Arabidopsis thaliana: one gene and its partners. The protein of the gene in region 2 interacts with the protein of the main gene of each other region in a pairwise test. Each region holds a gene or a part of one and is shown on either strand. Other genes may lie near its edges.

Evidence for each region.
Region 1: the proteins of AT4G14740 (region 2) and PTAC7 interact in a two-hybrid assay, tested with the Arabidopsis thaliana proteins (one large-scale study listed by BioGRID).
Region 3: the proteins of AT4G14740 (region 2) and MORF6 interact in a two-hybrid assay, tested with the Arabidopsis thaliana proteins (one large-scale study listed by BioGRID).

Annotation. Positions count from the first base shown.
Region 1 is NC_003076.8:8,275,349-8,279,964, forward strand, and holds PTAC7 (plastid transcriptionally active7), read left to right. Parts: upstream 1-2,351; 5' UTR 2,352-2,401; coding exon 2,402-2,443; intron 2,444-2,524; coding exon 2,525-2,572; intron 2,573-2,650; coding exon 2,651-2,734; intron 2,735-3,415; coding exon 3,416-3,751; 3' UTR 3,752-3,846; downstream 3,847-4,616. Other genes in the region: ABIL3 (ABL interactor-like protein 3), read left to right, coding at 1-23, 127-219, 298-340, 415-509, 593-720, 801-977; AT5G24313 (uncharacterized protein), read right to left, coding at 1,758-2,003; AT5G24316 (proline-rich family protein), read right to left, coding at 3,925-4,077, 4,157-4,264, 4,362-4,402, 4,512-4,587. UniProt on the Arabidopsis thaliana protein: Essential for chloroplast development, especially for thylakoid formation. Involved in plastid gene expression, probably by maintaining plastid-encoded RNA polymerase (PEP) activity.
Region 2 is NC_003075.7:8,449,230-8,456,619, forward strand, and holds AT4G14740 (auxin canalization protein (DUF828)), read right to left. Parts: upstream 4,931-7,390; 5' UTR 4,718-4,930; coding exon 4,406-4,717; intron 4,039-4,405; coding exon 3,928-4,038; exon of another isoform or gene 3,451-3,927; coding exon of another isoform or gene 3,445-3,450; coding exon 3,000-3,444; intron 2,763-2,999; coding exon 2,520-2,762; intron 2,437-2,519; coding exon 2,387-2,436; intron 2,034-2,386; coding exon 1,976-2,033; coding exon of another isoform or gene 1,968-1,975; exon of another isoform or gene 1,547-1,967; coding exon 1,338-1,546; 3' UTR 1,308-1,337; exon of another isoform or gene 1,227-1,307; 3' UTR 929-1,226; downstream 1-928. Other genes in the region: AT4G14730 (Bax inhibitor-1 family protein), read left to right, coding at 1-9, 339-496, 575-772.
Region 3 is NC_003071.7:14,843,887-14,848,639, forward strand, and holds MORF6 (plastid developmental protein DAG), read right to left. Parts: upstream 2,474-4,753; 5' UTR 2,377-2,473; coding exon 1,988-2,376; intron 1,902-1,987; coding exon 1,804-1,901; intron 1,709-1,803; coding exon 1,643-1,708; intron 1,359-1,642; coding exon 1,213-1,358; 3' UTR 1,010-1,212; downstream 1-1,009. Other genes in the region: IKU1 (VQ motif-containing protein), read left to right, coding at 1-193; AT2G35250 (NEP-interacting protein, putative (DUF239)), read right to left, coding at 2,776-3,147, 3,280-3,426, 3,554-3,607, 3,704-3,868, 4,053-4,199, 4,534-4,605, 4,705-4,753. UniProt on the Arabidopsis thaliana protein: Involved in organellar RNA editing. Required for the processing of few RNA editing sites in mitochondria.

The DNA of each region.
Region 1 (4,616 bases), on a different chromosome or scaffold from region 2:
CCACAAGCGGTACTTCTTGCCTTGTAAGTTTCGACTCTCCAAAGTTCCCTATATGTTTCTACAAACTTTCGTTCTCTTATTTGTCGGTTTTGGGACTCAGCTAACAAAAACGAAATTCTCTATCAGCTGGTGAAATCAAAAGAGGTGGCAACCTCGCAAAGCTTAAGAATGTTGAAGGTAGTTTTGATGGAGAAGATGACTGGAACCAATTCAGAAATGGTATAAATTGCCATTTCATTTACTTAGAAATTGCCTTGATTCTTGATTTGATATGTTTCTTGTTGTGAATTCTTAAAGCTGTTCGCGCTACAATTCGTGAAACGCCTCCACCACCTGTTAGGTATAGTCCAGTACTCATAGTGAGTTCCCTTGTCAAATGACCGAGAAGTACTAAACTTTTATCGCTTTTTGCAGAAAACCGATACTTCAGTCTCCCTCTCAACGGAAACCTCAACGTTCAGCAACCTTTTCGTTCTCCTCTATCGCCACCGCACCAAAGAAAGAACAAGGTAAAAGACAGCTTCACCTTGAAATTGCCGTTTTTGGCTTAATATGTAAACAGAACCTTTAAACAGTGTGCATGGTAAAATAGATAAGCGAGCAGTATCACCACATCGGTTTCCGCTGCTAAGATCTGGTTCGGTTGCTATCCGACCGTCATCAATCAGCCGGCCAACAACCCCGAGCAAGAGTAGAGCGGTAACTCCAACTCCTAAACGGGTAAGCTTCGGTTACATTTCAAAAACACTCACTTCTAGGCTCTATCTCTAACGGTTGATTCTTGATATTTTCTGGCTCAGTATCCGTCAGAACCAAGAAGATCGGCTTCGGTTCGGGTTGCGTTCGAGAAAGAAGCTCAGAAAGAACCAGAGCATCAACAACAACCGAGCAAGAGCAAACGGCTGCTAAAGGCGCTACTTAGCCGACGCAAAACAAAGAAGGACGATACGCTCTACACTTATTTGGACGAATATTAAACCGAAAGCTGGTTTTGTATGTTGACTGGTAAACCGGAAATTACATTCCAGTTTTAATTGCATTTACGTAATGTCAAATTGTCAATATATGTGTTACAAAATATGTCCATGATTCTATGATTTTGTGTATACCTTATGACTGTCAGAGTGTGAATGCAGTTTTGTTTACAAGCGTAGTAAAACTTGCTGTGAATTATTTTACTGCCGATTTTAACCAAATTAACAGCAAGTTTATATATACAATTTCGTTCTCGAAATATTATTTGACAGTTTAATATATATTTTGCATCAATTACTGTTGCAAGAATAATTATGTTTTTGAAACTTTTGCTTTTATTTATCCAGTTTTTGAAATTGATTAAGAATGTTTGAGACTAATCCTCCCTTTTTTCTTTTTTTTTTTTTAAGCCGTGGTAATGTGGTATTCGTTCGGTAAATCTACCTATTCAAAAAGATAGTATCATCGACTTTTCTGTTGTATTAACTTACCATTTACAAATATTACATTAATTAATTTGAAACAAGTCAAATTTATTGTCACCAAGAATGAAGTACACGTATACAGATAAAAATAAAGAAGAAAAAAACAGAGACAACTTTTCCGGAGATTTTACTTTAGAAAGCAAAGAAAACTAAATCAAACCAAGCCTTCAAAAATTAGGTAGCTCTTATAAACCGGATCATAAAACCAAACATCAAAACATATGTATGCTCTTTCAAAACATGGTACCAACTCACGAGTCTTTTCATCAGGGCCGATTCTCACCATCACTCAATGGTCTAGACACCATCAGTTTGGGGTTCAACTTCTGATCTTTTGGGTGGTGGTGGAGGTGGTGATCTGTCGTAATGCTCAGCAACAAGTGAACGATGAGAAGAAGGAAGAAAAACCTGACGAGACTCCATCGATGGAAAATAAGATGATGGTACATTATCGTCAAGAAGTTTCCGGTTGGTTTGAGCATGCCCGATCATGATCATAGCTAAGAGAACACAACATATTAAGAGATGATTCCTAGAAGCCATTTTCTCATCCGGTGATCGATAGAGTTAATTTCTTTGCTTATCAACTATGTTGAGGTTCCATCTTGTAATGTCTTATGTATATACATAGCTCACAAAGTCACAATAGAGGGTTCCCACTAACTATTATTAGATTGATTGATTTCTGAAAAATATTATTTTTGTGTACCAAGTAAAATTATATGATTTTAGATTTGTTGTTAGTTTTGATTTGTTTTAGATTTTTTTTTTGTGCAAGTTGAATTATTATTGTATAGATAAAATGACGAGAAAAAAAAATGCCCGGTTCGGTTAGGAATGATTTGTCCAAATACGAACACAACCAAAGATAAACCATTAAACCGAACCGGAGAAGCTTACATATAAAATAGGATCCGGTTCTATCTATTCACTGTGTATCAATGGCTTCCTTCACCTGTTCTTCTCCATCTTCGATTTTACCTGTAAAAATCCCTCCTTTGCTTCTCTCATAATCATCCTTTGATGTCAATGTGATTTCTCATTTTCAATTATTGTATATTCAGATTATTGATACGAGAAGTGGGAATTTGCGATGCACATTTCAGTCTCAGGTTTTGAATGGTTGATATATATACGAATTTGTGGGTTTTTGGGGGAGAGTTTTGAGTGAATCTGGTTGATTTTTTCAGGTTTCTTGTGGGATTCAGAGAGATGATAATGGACGCCGTGTTTGGCGGAGGAGAACATTGGTAAGTACTAAACTTGATATTTTGGTGATTTTCCAGTTTCATGTTTATGACATAAGTCGAATCAGGAATCAAAATAAGGGTTTTTCTTTGCTTGGAGACGACATTTCTAAAAAGTTGCAATTTTTAGTAGGATCACAGATTAGCTTTAACTCACTGATGAGGCATGACTATTAACTCTAGTTAGTCTTTACTTAGTCATAGTAATTGATATGATGCATAGAAGGAGAGATGGAGATTGTCTTCTCTGAGTTTTTGCGATTTCTAGTTTACCCTTCTTGATTCCAAATTAGCTTACACACCTGTTTCAAAAGTGTCTTTGTTGAACTATGCTCATTTCAGACGCTAGCTTTAGTTCTTATACTGTTGATGAACTTAAAGAAACATGGCTTTTTACCTCTAGTTAGTGTTTACTTATATATATTCAAGTAACCATGGTCTTATCTCTATGGCACATGCAAGAAATTGGAGATTGTCTTATCTGAGATACTGGGATTTTTAGGTGGGAGTTACACATTACATAAAATATTAGTGTGATCTTTTTACTTGTACTATATTCTACAAACTATCAGTTTCTGTTGTTTGATCCTATCAGGTTCATGAGGTTTTGAGATTTCAATAATTACCAAAGCCAGAACAATGCAAAATCTTTGTTTATATTTGTCCCGCTTTTAATCTCTCTATGTCGTTCTCCTGTTTTGTCTGTAGACGAAGAAGGACGATATGTTGCGTTACAAAATGCAAAGAGTTCCATTTGTGGAAGAACAAGTAAGGAAGATAAGAGAAGTTGGGAAGGTAATGACAATGGACATAGAGCAGCTTCTTTTGAGGGAAGACAATCGGTTTGAATTTGTCAATAGCGTAGCAGCTGAAGCAACAGAGTACGTGGACAAGAACAGAGACGAATATGGAGGTTCCAAAAAAGCCATCTTTCATGTTCTAAGCAACCGTGTGAACGATCTCGGCTTTGATCGCCCTGAGGCTTATGTAGAAGCTGATCCTTACAAACCCGGTCCTGGCTATTTGTTGGAGTACTACACTTGATATATTATAACAAAAAGTGTCAATGTACTTTACAGCTTTTGTTCTTGTATTACCAAAACCAAATCAATGCATTCACAGCTTTGTTGTTTTCTTGGCCAAATTTCATTTTATTTATTTAGATTTACTAGATGAAGACGAAAGTCTAATGACAAGAGTTTAGTAAAAGTAACGGTCTAGTGATTTGTGGTGAAAGGAGGTCGTCGTGTCGGTGGAGGAGGAGGAGGAGGTACATATGGCATTGGTCGTTTTGGGATTGGTCTTGGAGACCAGTCCCCATAGTCTTCTTTGTTATAGACAGTTGGTTCCTTTGTCACAACCTCATCAACCTTTCAAAACCAAACTCATACACTATTAAAAAAGGAAGACACTTTTCGTAATACTTCATTTTTGCTATAGGGCACGTACTTGTGTTCCTGGAATTGTAGGGTCGGATGGCTTGGGAGGTCTTAGATGCGGCCCAGCGTAGTCCATCTCCAGATCGATTCTTCTTCCATTCATGACCATCTCTTTAACCTTTTTAAATCAACAAGTTTTATATCTTTTTGTTTTTAGTTTTGATGCATATTTGTAATCAAATATATAACGCTTTTAGAACCGTGATTGTTAATACCTTGCGGTTGATGTTGTCATGATGCAAAGTCTCAACGATCCCTAACAAAAATATGAAGCATATTTATTCAATTCGGAGTTCTATATTGACCTATATAAAATGTTAAAGCTACTATAAGTTTGCATATGTTAGTTGATCAGATCTATATACCTGAAGAAAACATTGGGAGAACGAGCAAGAAAGATACTAGTATCACTAGCTTCATCCTTAAGTCAGATTCTCTCATTTTTGTTTTGTTTTGGTGATATGTGAATT
Region 2 (7,390 bases):
TCTCCCAAGGTATGGATACAGAGATATATCACACTTGGTTGGCTTGTGGTGTTGTTAAAAGACAAACCATTTGTCATATTTTGCCTTGGATTGTTCTCTGCTTGAAATAATCAACCAACACTAGTGTTGGTGTGATATTGATTAGATAGTACTGTTTTCTTAACCATAAAAGTTGAAATTTAGTATCTTGTTGGCTTTAACATGGTGAATCATGAAAAAGAGGAACATGGCATGAGATGCTTTCATGCTTTTTTGTCAAGCAACTTATTAACTCTGTTTCCTATAACTAGAGTTACACCATTTGGTTAGAATCTAATTTCCAAGTATTGTGAAAACAGGGAGGATTGTTCTGGAGGCTGCAATTCTCACAGCTGTGATGGTCTTTGGTCTAACGATCTACACCTTCTGGGCAGTGAAGAGAGGACATGATTTCTCCTTCCTTGGACCATTCCTCTTTGGTGCTCTCCTCATTATCCTTGTCTTCACCCTTTTGCAGGTACTAACTCAGTAACTCTCAATCTATTCAAAGTTTTGGGATATATTATCACAAAGCTAAACAATGAAATGAATGCAGATATTCCACCCTCTGGGGAAGCTATCATCGATGATATTCAGCGGAATAGCTTCAATAGTGTTCTGCGGATACATCATCTTCGACACCAATCAGCTGATCAAGAAACTCAACTACGACGAATATATCACTGCAGCGATTCGTCTATACCTCGACGTTATGAATCTCTTCCTCAGTCTCCTCGGCATTATAAGCAACTGAACGTTATGAATCTCAATCTCCTATAGTATTCTACTTATTCCAGACATAGATTTATCGAATATTAAGAACACATGTTTATGGCTTGATTAAGTTGTTAACAATACCAAAGGTCCAAAACATTCTACATAAGCAAACAATCCTTAATGATTTATTTGTCTCCTTGTGAGTTTAGAAATATAGGCAGCTTCTTTGGTCAATCAATGGATAGATATTACAACAATAATGGGACAAAAAAGAAGCATATTTGATGTTGTTCCCAATAAAATATTGAAATTGGACCCATCAATTTTAAAATTAAAACATACTATATATCTATTACTTCAACTTTGTTTTTTTATACAAAAAGACCACCAACAACCAAAAAAAAACTAAGAACATAGATATTACAGATCACCCCCACTAAGTTTTGTTTACCCAAATGCTTCCTCACCTTGACTGGTAGGTCCATTTTATCCTATACCCAACCCAAAAAACCATTACCTTAAAAGAACCCCTACTAATGAAATTTGACCACATAAGTTAAAAAAAAACTCACACTTAAACCAAGCAGCCATTGAACGTTTATTCACATCCTAAACTTCCTCTCAGCAGCAAGAACAAGAAGCCTTGAGACACCTTGTGTCCACATTTCATATTCCCTTTGGCTCTTGACCTCGAATTCAACATCACCTCGCATAACCGTCTTCAAACCGAAGTATCTTAGATCATCTCCTCCCTCTAGCAAATGTCGTCCAGGCCAGGCCGGGACATTCTTGATCACATCAAGCACAATGTCTGTAACAAAATTGGAAAGATAGTAAAATAATTAATAGAAGAGTCTTCTTCAAGTTCACATTCAAAAGCAAGACAAAAAGTAAAAGATTGAAGGGATTTGATCCTATAGTTACTTTAGTCACATATACACTTTTGCTTTTTCAATTTTTTTTCCTTTTCTCGTCTCAAATCCCCATATCTAAAGCAGACCCACCTCAAAGTTTTGAATTCTCTTTACCAGGTTCACATATAATTGACTCATTGACAGTAGATAGTGACAAAAAGTAAAGCTTTCAATATCAAACTAAAGAAACATTCTTTGTTTTTAAACCCATTAGAAGAATCATCTGAAATGTCTTGGAAGGAATTAGAGAAATCTCCAACCAAACTATTCAGGGTTTAAAGTGGTGTTATACTTATAGTATGTAAAAAGAGTAAATAATCACTTACTCTTTTTCTTCTTGGTGAAGGTTCCTCCAACATGCCTGCTCTTCATCTTCAACATAACCTATAAGTTCAATAAATCAAAACAAATTAGTGATTCTGTAAGAGATGCTTAAGCAGCAAAGACAAAAGTGGATCCCATGATTTCAGTATCATCATCATTATCAAAACAGTGCTTTTTATTTTTAAGCTTTAGTATTGTTTCTACTTTCTCTTCTTTTCCTGCCGTTTGAAATTTCTCTTTTCTCATCTTTTTGTGTGTTTCATATAACAAAGTTAACATCCATGTGAAGTAACTAAAGATTCCCACTGATTCACAAATAATTTGGCTCTCTTTAATCTTTTTCATCAGATCAACAACGATCATTTCCTAAAGTGAAACGAAACTCGAGGCACAATAAGAAAAAGAATCTTTACCTGATTCATTTTGTTGATGTAAACAGATACTATCTTCCAGTGGAGATCACCTGCAAAAGTCACACATCATTAGACAAAAGATTCAACAACTAAAATTTAAACTTTTAAATACACAAGTTTGAATTTTTCTTACCTTTGCGAGTGCGTTTGAGGAGTTCACAACCTCTAGCGAGCCATTCTCTACTACAAGTTCCCAAGAAATTCTCCTGTTGTACAAGTTCACCACTGTGACTACTGCTTGAGCTTCCATTGCTACCATTAACATTATTGCTGCTTCCTCCTGTAGAAGTGAGTCCTTTATCCATTGGTATCACTGATGCTATGTTCCACACTTCCTTCATTGCCCTTGCCTTCAATGTTTGCACTCCTCTTAAAGCTACACACCAAAAATACAAATCAAATTACCAAAAATTAACTTCTGATTCCTTCATAAAGTTCCAATTTTGAGCCAATCCCTAAATCAATGCTATCATTATCTTCAACAAAATCAAAACTTTAGCAATTCTCATTACAGGGTCAAGAAGTATTAAACATGTTTCAACCTAAAGTCAATCAATTTTAGCGTTTTCTTTTGAAAGTTCCAAACTTTATCAAAACTCTGTACTAAACAAACCTGTAGCTGCTCCGGCGGTGAGAGTCATAATATCTCCGGCAGAACGAACATTGACGGCGGAGCTAACAACAGAAGCCAAATACTCTCTCTCAGCTCCCATAACTTCAGCAGCTTCCACACACTGAGCAGCCACAAGGGTCGCAGCAGAAGCAACGGCCATGTCAGTTTTAGCCATCTGCTCATCCTTACCACAGCTAGAAGACGCAGCGGTGGCTGCTGCAATAGCAGCAACAGCTGCAGCAACGCCGGCGACAGAGACAGCAGCGTGAATCTGAGCGTTATGAGCCCGAGTCTCCTCTTTCTTTTTCTCTCTCCGGTCCTTAAGCCACCGTCCCACCGTCTTGGACTGTGTAGCTGTAGCGGTTATAGGTCCCGGAGTTGCCGCCGTTGAACGGAACTGAGAATTTACACTGTTCAATGAATTTTTGTTCGCTCTGCAAAATTGCTGCATTTTAAGATTAAAAATTTGAGTTTTAGTATCAGAGATTCGCCAGAACCCAGAAGAGTGAAGCAAAATCTAAAAAAGGAAATGTTTTTGGAAGAAGAGTGATGAACAAGAAAAAGACAAAACCAAATCAAGTAAAGGAGATTGCTTTAGACCAAAGTGTCACTAAATAATACTTATTTAATTAAGAAAACCAACAATTCGTTAATGGGTTTAAGGAATAATTATAAAATTGAATTGAAATGATGAAGAATCATCGGAAACAGTAGTGGGAGAAAGACATGATCTCTGGGTATGGTTGGATAAAGAGAAAGCTTCTAGTGAAGATTCTTTTTTTATTTTCACAGTCTCTCATTGTACCCAAAATTGTCAGTGACGCAGTAAAAATTGAAACATTTACATAGAGAGTAACACCAAAACTCAGAAACCCAGAACATGCTTTAGTATCAAAACTAAATACAGTTTTGGTCAAGAAATTGGAACCTTAATGTCGTCGGATTCGGGAGGAGACACAGGAGGACTGTCGGTCAAAGAACCATTAAGTGGACCACTACTGTGAGATAGCCGACCAGATGTTCTTGGTGATACTTCTTGCTGCAAACAAAATTATTAAAGAAGATGAGACAAAAGTAGAATCAAGAAGAAGAGATGATGACAAATCCATAAACTTGTTATTATGTTTTTAGGGACCCAGAAAGCGAGTGTGTAGATAAAAATCGTAACTTTTTTTCTTGATTAATAGTTATAATTATTGCGCGTGAAAATTTTCTCTTCATTAATCACACTTAATAAAGAGAGATTCATGAACATAATTTGCTAAAAATTAAAACTTTGATTGACCATATTTGGGAAATTCTGATGAAAGAAACAAAATAAAATTTGTCAACATCGAAAGTAAAAAAAAAAAGAATGCTTTGTTTTGTCCGGAAATGCTCTGTTTTTATCTGAAGAAAAGACTTACAGAGTGAGACAAGATACGATCCATGACCATTTGAGAAGTTTCTGAACAAGCGAAGGAGAATGGGTTTCCGGTGACAAGTCCGGTGTCTTCCGTGTCGCCGTCGCCGTCTACGACAGAGGAGATGGGTTCTTCTTCTTCTTCTTCTTCGGTTTTGGAGAGGAGAATCTGAGGGTTGGGTGGTGTTAGAGCCTTGGAGACTTCGAGAGCAGAGACGCTCCATGAACGAGCTAAAAACTCCATCGGTTCGAGTGGTGTTTCCGGTGGACGGTAAACCGGGTCGGGTCTCCATGTCGGAACCATGAGTTTTTCCATTTTGAAAGAAAGAGAGAGTGAAGAGAGAGAGAGATATAGAGAGAGATATATAGAGAGAGAGATATAGAGAGAGAGTTTTGATGGAAGTGAAAGGTTGTCAATGGGGATGCGATTTATAGAATGACAAGTGACAACGAAGCTGTTCTTTTCATCACTCTCTCTGCTTTTTCAGCTCTTCCGTTTTTTCTTGCTTTTTCCCTACTACTCTCTTTCTCTCTCTCTAAATGAAAAATAAGCTAAAATTTTGTGAAAAAATAATTAAAAATGAAGCTTTTTTTTTATTTTTGTAAATTTTCCAAATATACGGATATTTTCTGAAATTGGCCATCAATATTTTTTTAGGTTAAACGAGTAATTAAAAAAAAAAAAAATACACAATTCACTTTTTTGTGTGAATTGATATTCCAGAAGGAATTGGAGAACATTTCAAGATTTATTATTTGAACGATTTAGTTATATTAAAGAAAATATCTTTACTTAAAAGACAAAATTTTATGTTGTAAAGTTTAACGTTGTTCTTTTTTGGCAACTTGTTGTATTCTTTTTGGAATACAGGATATAAGTAGAAAATAATCAATAAAAATATGGTTTTTTGTGAAATGTTAATCTCACATCAACAAAAAAGTTGCTTACGTGGTAAATATATAGAATCTCACTCATCTTTTGGATAAAATAAAAAGTTGAAATAGAGTTTGGAACTAATTACTCGTAGAGCAGCTCAACAATTTATTAATGGAAGAAGAAATGAAGGCAAACAAAATCTACTTACAGACCATTTCTGCATTGTTCTAATATTTTTGCCACGTTTCATTTGAAGAACTGTTGATGTTTCTTGAAATCGAATGGAGGACAGTTCTATACTGTTCGAGTTTATAATCGAATGATAGAAAAAAAATAATTGGCATGCGTTGCAATGACAACGATGATTCATAGATAATAAATTAATTACCCGAAATATATGGGGACAAATGAAAGAGACTTATTAATAGATATGCTAAAAATTTAATTGAATTCGATAAGTGTTTTTGAGTTTTTTTTTGTTAGTATAGAGGACATAAATGAGAAGAGAGACCTCTCACCATCTCGTATCTTTCATGAGTAAACCTACGAAAAGCATGGAAGATAAAGCCTCTCGTCGGTCGATCTTCATCTATCAACTAACTACTTGAAGTATATTTAATATTCGATGGATTGATATTTTTCTATGACTTTGATTTTGTTTCCAGGGTTCGTCACTCTTTATAGTTCTTTTAAATAGGAACAAAATGGTTTGACCCCAAAAACAATACGGTCAAAACATCGTATATTATGTAGTTGTAGCCGATAAAGAAACTCGTATATTGAAAATTAAAAATACGTATTTTAATTACCCAAATAGAAACAATCAAACAGCTGTTGAAAAATTACAAAAAAAAAACTAAGAGTAAACTAAGTTAGACTTGAAGTTCTTCTAATTGAGTAAATTACAAGTAAAAAAAAAAACATTTGTAAAGCAAAAGAAGTACGTCGTACGTGTTGGACTGGAACTAAACTACACTGCACTGCAACTAATTTGTACGTTAGATTAGAATCTCAAAAATGTGATCTTCTTTCTTCTCTACTTGCATGCACAAATACTGTATGCTTCCGTACATTCAGTTTCACAATAGTCTTGTCAAATGCATCTTCGCTTCCCTGTCTAAATATGATCACTTTACATAGTTTATTTTGAAACAATCGCAAAAAACAAATAGCTTTTCCAAACAGTGCTGCTGTAACTGAGATATTGTGAATTATACGTGGTGATGTTTAACAGTATATGTGGTACAATTTTGGATTATAAGTTGGTGAAGAAGATTCCTTTATTTTTGTGGGTTTAGGTTAGAGATTGAGTTTGCACAAAAAAAAAAAAAAAAAAGGTTAGAGATTGAGTTCTTTTATAGTATAAGGATCTCCACCATTGTTAATACATTAATGACACTCAATGTTATACAGATTCCGAGAATTATATTTGATTTTCGACGTGAAACTTCTATATCCTTTTTGTATGTTTTGTTTTAGATGTGAAACTTTCTGAATATTAAAAAAATCAATAAAACACATCTTGATATCATAATAAGAATATTTTTCTGAAATACATAGGATTCTTAGAAATACAAAAATTTGATTTCGTAAATAATGAGCAATGTAAAACTGTTTCAAATGAATGATCGCCTCAGGAGAATATGGTCCCCAATCTTGATATGTAACAGACACACCACTCAGCAGTTAGTAGCAGGACTATTCTCATTTCATGCGTTTGGAATTGTGGTTATTATGTTTTCTGATTTCAACTACTTTGTTTAGTACTACTATTCTTTTTTCTTTGTCTCAGATATTATAGTTTATATTCAGATATATCATCATACATCCATTCATTGCATATTTCTTAATGAAGATATTTTTAGATTTTGTTTTGATTAGTTTCAACACTAATGACTCTCTATCTCTCTCCTAAACCTTATTAATTAAATCTTTGGAGAGATTAGAAAAAGTGGTTCCGAGGAATCCATGGGAAATGTAGCTGAACTTCATGATTTCTCATGGTCCCTCTTAATGACACTACCATTGTCCATTTTACAAGTGCTTTCCCTTCCTTTTTCTGTTTAAGTATTTTCACATTATCAACAAAAAATTCACAATCAGCTTATCTAA
Region 3 (4,753 bases), on a different chromosome or scaffold from region 2:
ACCAGGAGTTCAGTATCCTCAACCACTTACCCCAAACTTCTCATTTTCACAAATTGCTCAACAAGGAAGTCTTGGACCCGGTGCAGGTCCAAGTCAAGGTCCTCCTCAGCCTCCTCCTTCTCCAGGGCTCATGTTCCCGTTATCTCCATCCGGGTTCTTCCCCATGCCAAGTCCAAGATGGAATGATTACTAGGTGCTCTTTTTCTCTCCATCAGATTCATTAAATTAAGTAAATCGGATTATGTTTATTCAGGTTTCCTTAGGTTAGTCTGTACCTTTGAAAGAAGCTTAAAACTTCAGAGCCTACAGTGGAATAGACGCAGCAGAATAGATGCGTAAAACACTAAAGGAGCTTTTAGAAGAAAGAAAGATTTATAGGGGTTTTTTCTCTGTGGGATTTTAATAGGTCAAAAGTTGGGAATCTTGGGATGATGATGATTACCTTTGTTTTTGTTTATCACAAACTTAGTTTTATCTTTGCTTACATTGTACACATACTACAGACGAACTCAGTTCAATTTATATGATTTTTTGGGTGTTTTTAAAGCAAATGTCTCTCTACTTTTACTAAGAACAAAAATAATGATCAATAACATATTATTAATTCGTTTCTTCACAAGAAAGATTGATAAGTGAAGAATTTTTTGGATAATATTTAACAATAGATGCAGAAACAATTTGTATATTGATATCACCTAAAAAGATCAACTCACAGAACTACAAAAGATGGTACCAAAAAAAAGACTTCGATCCGAAATTTTCTCCAAGGATTATGACACATGGCATCAAAGAAATGATCAATGAATACACAGACTTATGAAAATGCAGAACCGTGTTGATCCACTTACCTCCATAATCATTGTACTCTGGATCAACATAATATCTGGACAACACTGGAGCGCTAGTGTCTTTGTTTTTTCGCTAAAGGTCGTAGGCCAAAGTTTATTTTCTTATGTCATAGGCACGGGCTGAGTCGAATACTATTTTACTTGAAGGTTGGGGTCAGGAGTTGAATCTTTTGACAATTATTGAGATTAATGGAGAGATGAAAATTAGTTGCAGAAACAATTGATACATTCGATATCACCAAAACACCATCATATACATTATTCATTAAGAGTCTAGCAAATTAAAAGAACAAACCAACAAAAAAAAGCATCGGAGATCAAATCGAAATGATTGCTCTAGCGTAAAGTCTGAGAATAATAAGAGTCAACGCATGTTCTCCCTCCGTCGGACATTTCTGATTCGGTCATGGTACTTTGGTTTATCCGACCCTCTTTGATTCGTTAACTCCACCATCCTCCTCTGTCTCTCTGGTGGACGAGGAACTACTTCTCCATTCACAAACAGTTCAGCTACATTTGCATAACAAACATTCAGCAATGAGTTTATAAGCTAAACTGATAGAATCAACAAAATTTTATGTACATAAACCAGAGAAGCCCTTAGCAAGTTCAATCTTTCATACATACGAACAAATGCATCATCACAGAATATTGTTTGCTTGAAAATGCAGTTAAGTTTCAGTGTTTACTTAAGAGTGATGCAAACCAGACTTTGATCAGACAAGTTCTTGATGATTATGATTATGACAAAGGACATTAAGAAAATGCAGAACAAAGTTGATGATACTACTTACCTCCGTAATCTTTGAACTCTGGATCAACATAAGAGTCCGGAAGCACGAACAGAACACCAGGAAGTCCTGAAACTCACAAAAGACCCAATTCCATCAATTACATTCACATCATCGGGTGCTATGCTACAGTATCATACACAACAAGTGTTACAAAAAGATACCTTCGAGTTTGTTTGATGTCTCCTCATCAATCTCACAGCCAAACCCAAAATACCTCTCACACGAAACATTATAGATCTTCTTTCTAGCCTCTTCCTCACTATTAAACCAAACAACAATCAGATTCAGTTTGTTATAGTGAAGTAGCTGAGGAATAACACTAACGAACATGACAAAGACACTCACCTGCCAACAATTTTAGCTAGGGTTTGAACATAGCAATCGATCATTTGCTGTTTCTGAGCATTTTCACCTCCGGGCTTCTCCATGACGATAAGCCAATGCTCGTAATCGCAACCAGGAAATAGAGGTGCCATTTCAGTGGGTGGTCGATCGCTGAAGTTTGATCCGGATTTAAGCGGCGAATATGAGCCGCCAGACCTATCCATCCGGGTCCGGATCGTTGTGAAGCGGGTCAAAGCTGGGATGTATCCGACGGCGTGGAAGATCGTCGGTGAGAATCGACGAGAGATGAGATGAGAAGGAAGCGGAGAAGGAGAGGCGACGGCATTGGAGGTGGAAAAGAAACGCTTAGCGACGCATGAGGCGGTGGATCGGGATAGAGTTTTCGCCATTGAGACTGGTGTGGTTTCCCGGCGATGATCGACGAAGACGACGAGACTAGGGTTTATGGATACGATTGAAGAAAACGAAAGAGAGTAAAACAAATTGGGCTTGTAATTTGTTATTAATGGGCCTTATCATGTCTAAATATGAGGCCCATTTGAATGAGAGATGATAATTCGTTTGGTATGGTATGATACCATTGGTATCACTCAGAGTCTCAGACCAAAACGTTGATGATGTTTCCACCTTCTCTTGTAAAGTTTTGGTTTTAGTGATGATCATGTTTTATTATTTACATACTTTTCAGTAAGAAAATATGAATAGATTAGATGATTTTATTCTTATTTGAAATTTGATACAATTTGGTTGATATATATATATATATATATATATATATTATCAAATCATCAAAAACCACAATTTCCACCTGGTCCTCCAAATGAAAAGGCTTCTCCTGTAGATTTGGTATAACCCCAATATGTCGCCCTAAAACAATTATAGGAATCGACATAAAGTCGTATTTTCCTACCTTCAATGTAAACTCTTTTATAGTCCGAGTTTATAACAACGACGTTATTAAAATGTGCCGTCTTTTTAAAGTCCGCAACTGGAAAAAACCCATTGCCCATTGGAGGACTGATTCCATCGGGAGATTCAAAAGTATTTCCTCCATATCTTACTAGAGAAGCTCCATTATTCAAATGTGAAAATAACTCTTTAGGCCAATAACCAATGACTTCATCAAACATTTTAAGTGCCCAATTTCCGCTGAAGCCATCCTAATACATATAAAACAAAAGAAAAAATGAAAACTAAATACTCCAACAAGTATGGTGTAATATGATAAGTTCATCTAAAGTCTAAACTAATTATATAAATCTTTTTCTTAAAAAGGATAAACAGAAATTTACCTGAAAAACTTGCAATTTAAACGTAAGACTTGTTTTACCATAGACAGATGTTCCCCAAAATCCGCTTCCAATTCTTGAATTTCGACTTACAACCACAAAGCCAGGGCATTGTGTATTATAGCACCCAGTTTTCTGATAACCATCTCCCTACATATAATAATATTTGTTACACATGTAAAATAATGAAAGACGTTTTGATCTCTTATTTTATTTTTTTACTCTAAGCTGATTAATAATGTTCTTAAAAGAATAAGAGTAGCTAAAAATTACTCACAGTCCAATATATTGTAAATCGTGTGACACTATCACCGTACAATCTTGGATGTACCTAAACAGAAATAAATATAAAAAAGATTATGTATGTTAAAAAAAAAACAGATTATGGAACGCAAAATCTTTAGCAAGTTTGATAGAACTGACTTACTGCCAAACCAGCTTGTATACTATTGAGTTGACCTGGAGGTCCATTCTCTAACCATATTTGACTTTTACTGTATTGGTTATTTTGCAGTTTCAAATCATGAATACTTATATCAGCTTCTGCTCCCCGATATATACTTCCATCTAAAATGGTCTCAATTGTTGCAAACTGCAAATTTCATCAATATGTTAGTTTAATTTTCATCTATAATATATATTTTGCATGAATAACAATCGGATGTTTTGATGTTCTCCTTTAATTTTACGTAAAACGAATAGATTATTAGAATGTCTTAACAACTAGATGAAATTTTGTAACTCCTTTCAAAAACCAAGATTAGGAGAAGACATACATGTTGACCAGAATACTCGGCGGTATTCAAATGAACGCCCTTGGATACATTTCTTTGTCTCAAAATTGCAACGGTTCCTTTTGGACAATGCTCTTTTGTATTATATTTGTTGCTTCTTTCAATTTTTCCATCTAGGCTGAATGTTTCCTACATTATACCACAAGTAACAAAGGAAGAATAAGATTCGTCAGTTTTGATGTCTCCCGAAGTCCTATTTTCATATTTGATTAACCACAACTATTTTATTCACATTTTATAAATTTATAAACTAACATTAACATATTCATCCAAAAGTTTCTTAGGAATACCCATCCTTGACTATAACAAAAGTTACTTATCATACATAAACTTTGAACTCTACTTTTATAAAATAAATAGAATATGCGAGATCTAATTCTAATATGAAAAAATCTAGATAATTTCTAGGTCGGATTAGATTTCGAAACTCAAATATTTTGCCCAACGATATATGCTACGTTACCTGGATCTTGTGATCTTTCAACAATGGATGTTGGAAAGCTGGTTGTTTGTATATTTCCACACAATCAAAATCCTATAAAATTGGTTGAACACACAAATTAGAGAAAAATTCTAAATATAAGAATGGAAATCTTTAGAGGATAGAACAAACAAGCATAAGCAAGGGTCTCACATCAGTGTTTCCCTGTGCACCTTGTGTAAACAGCAGATAAACACATAGA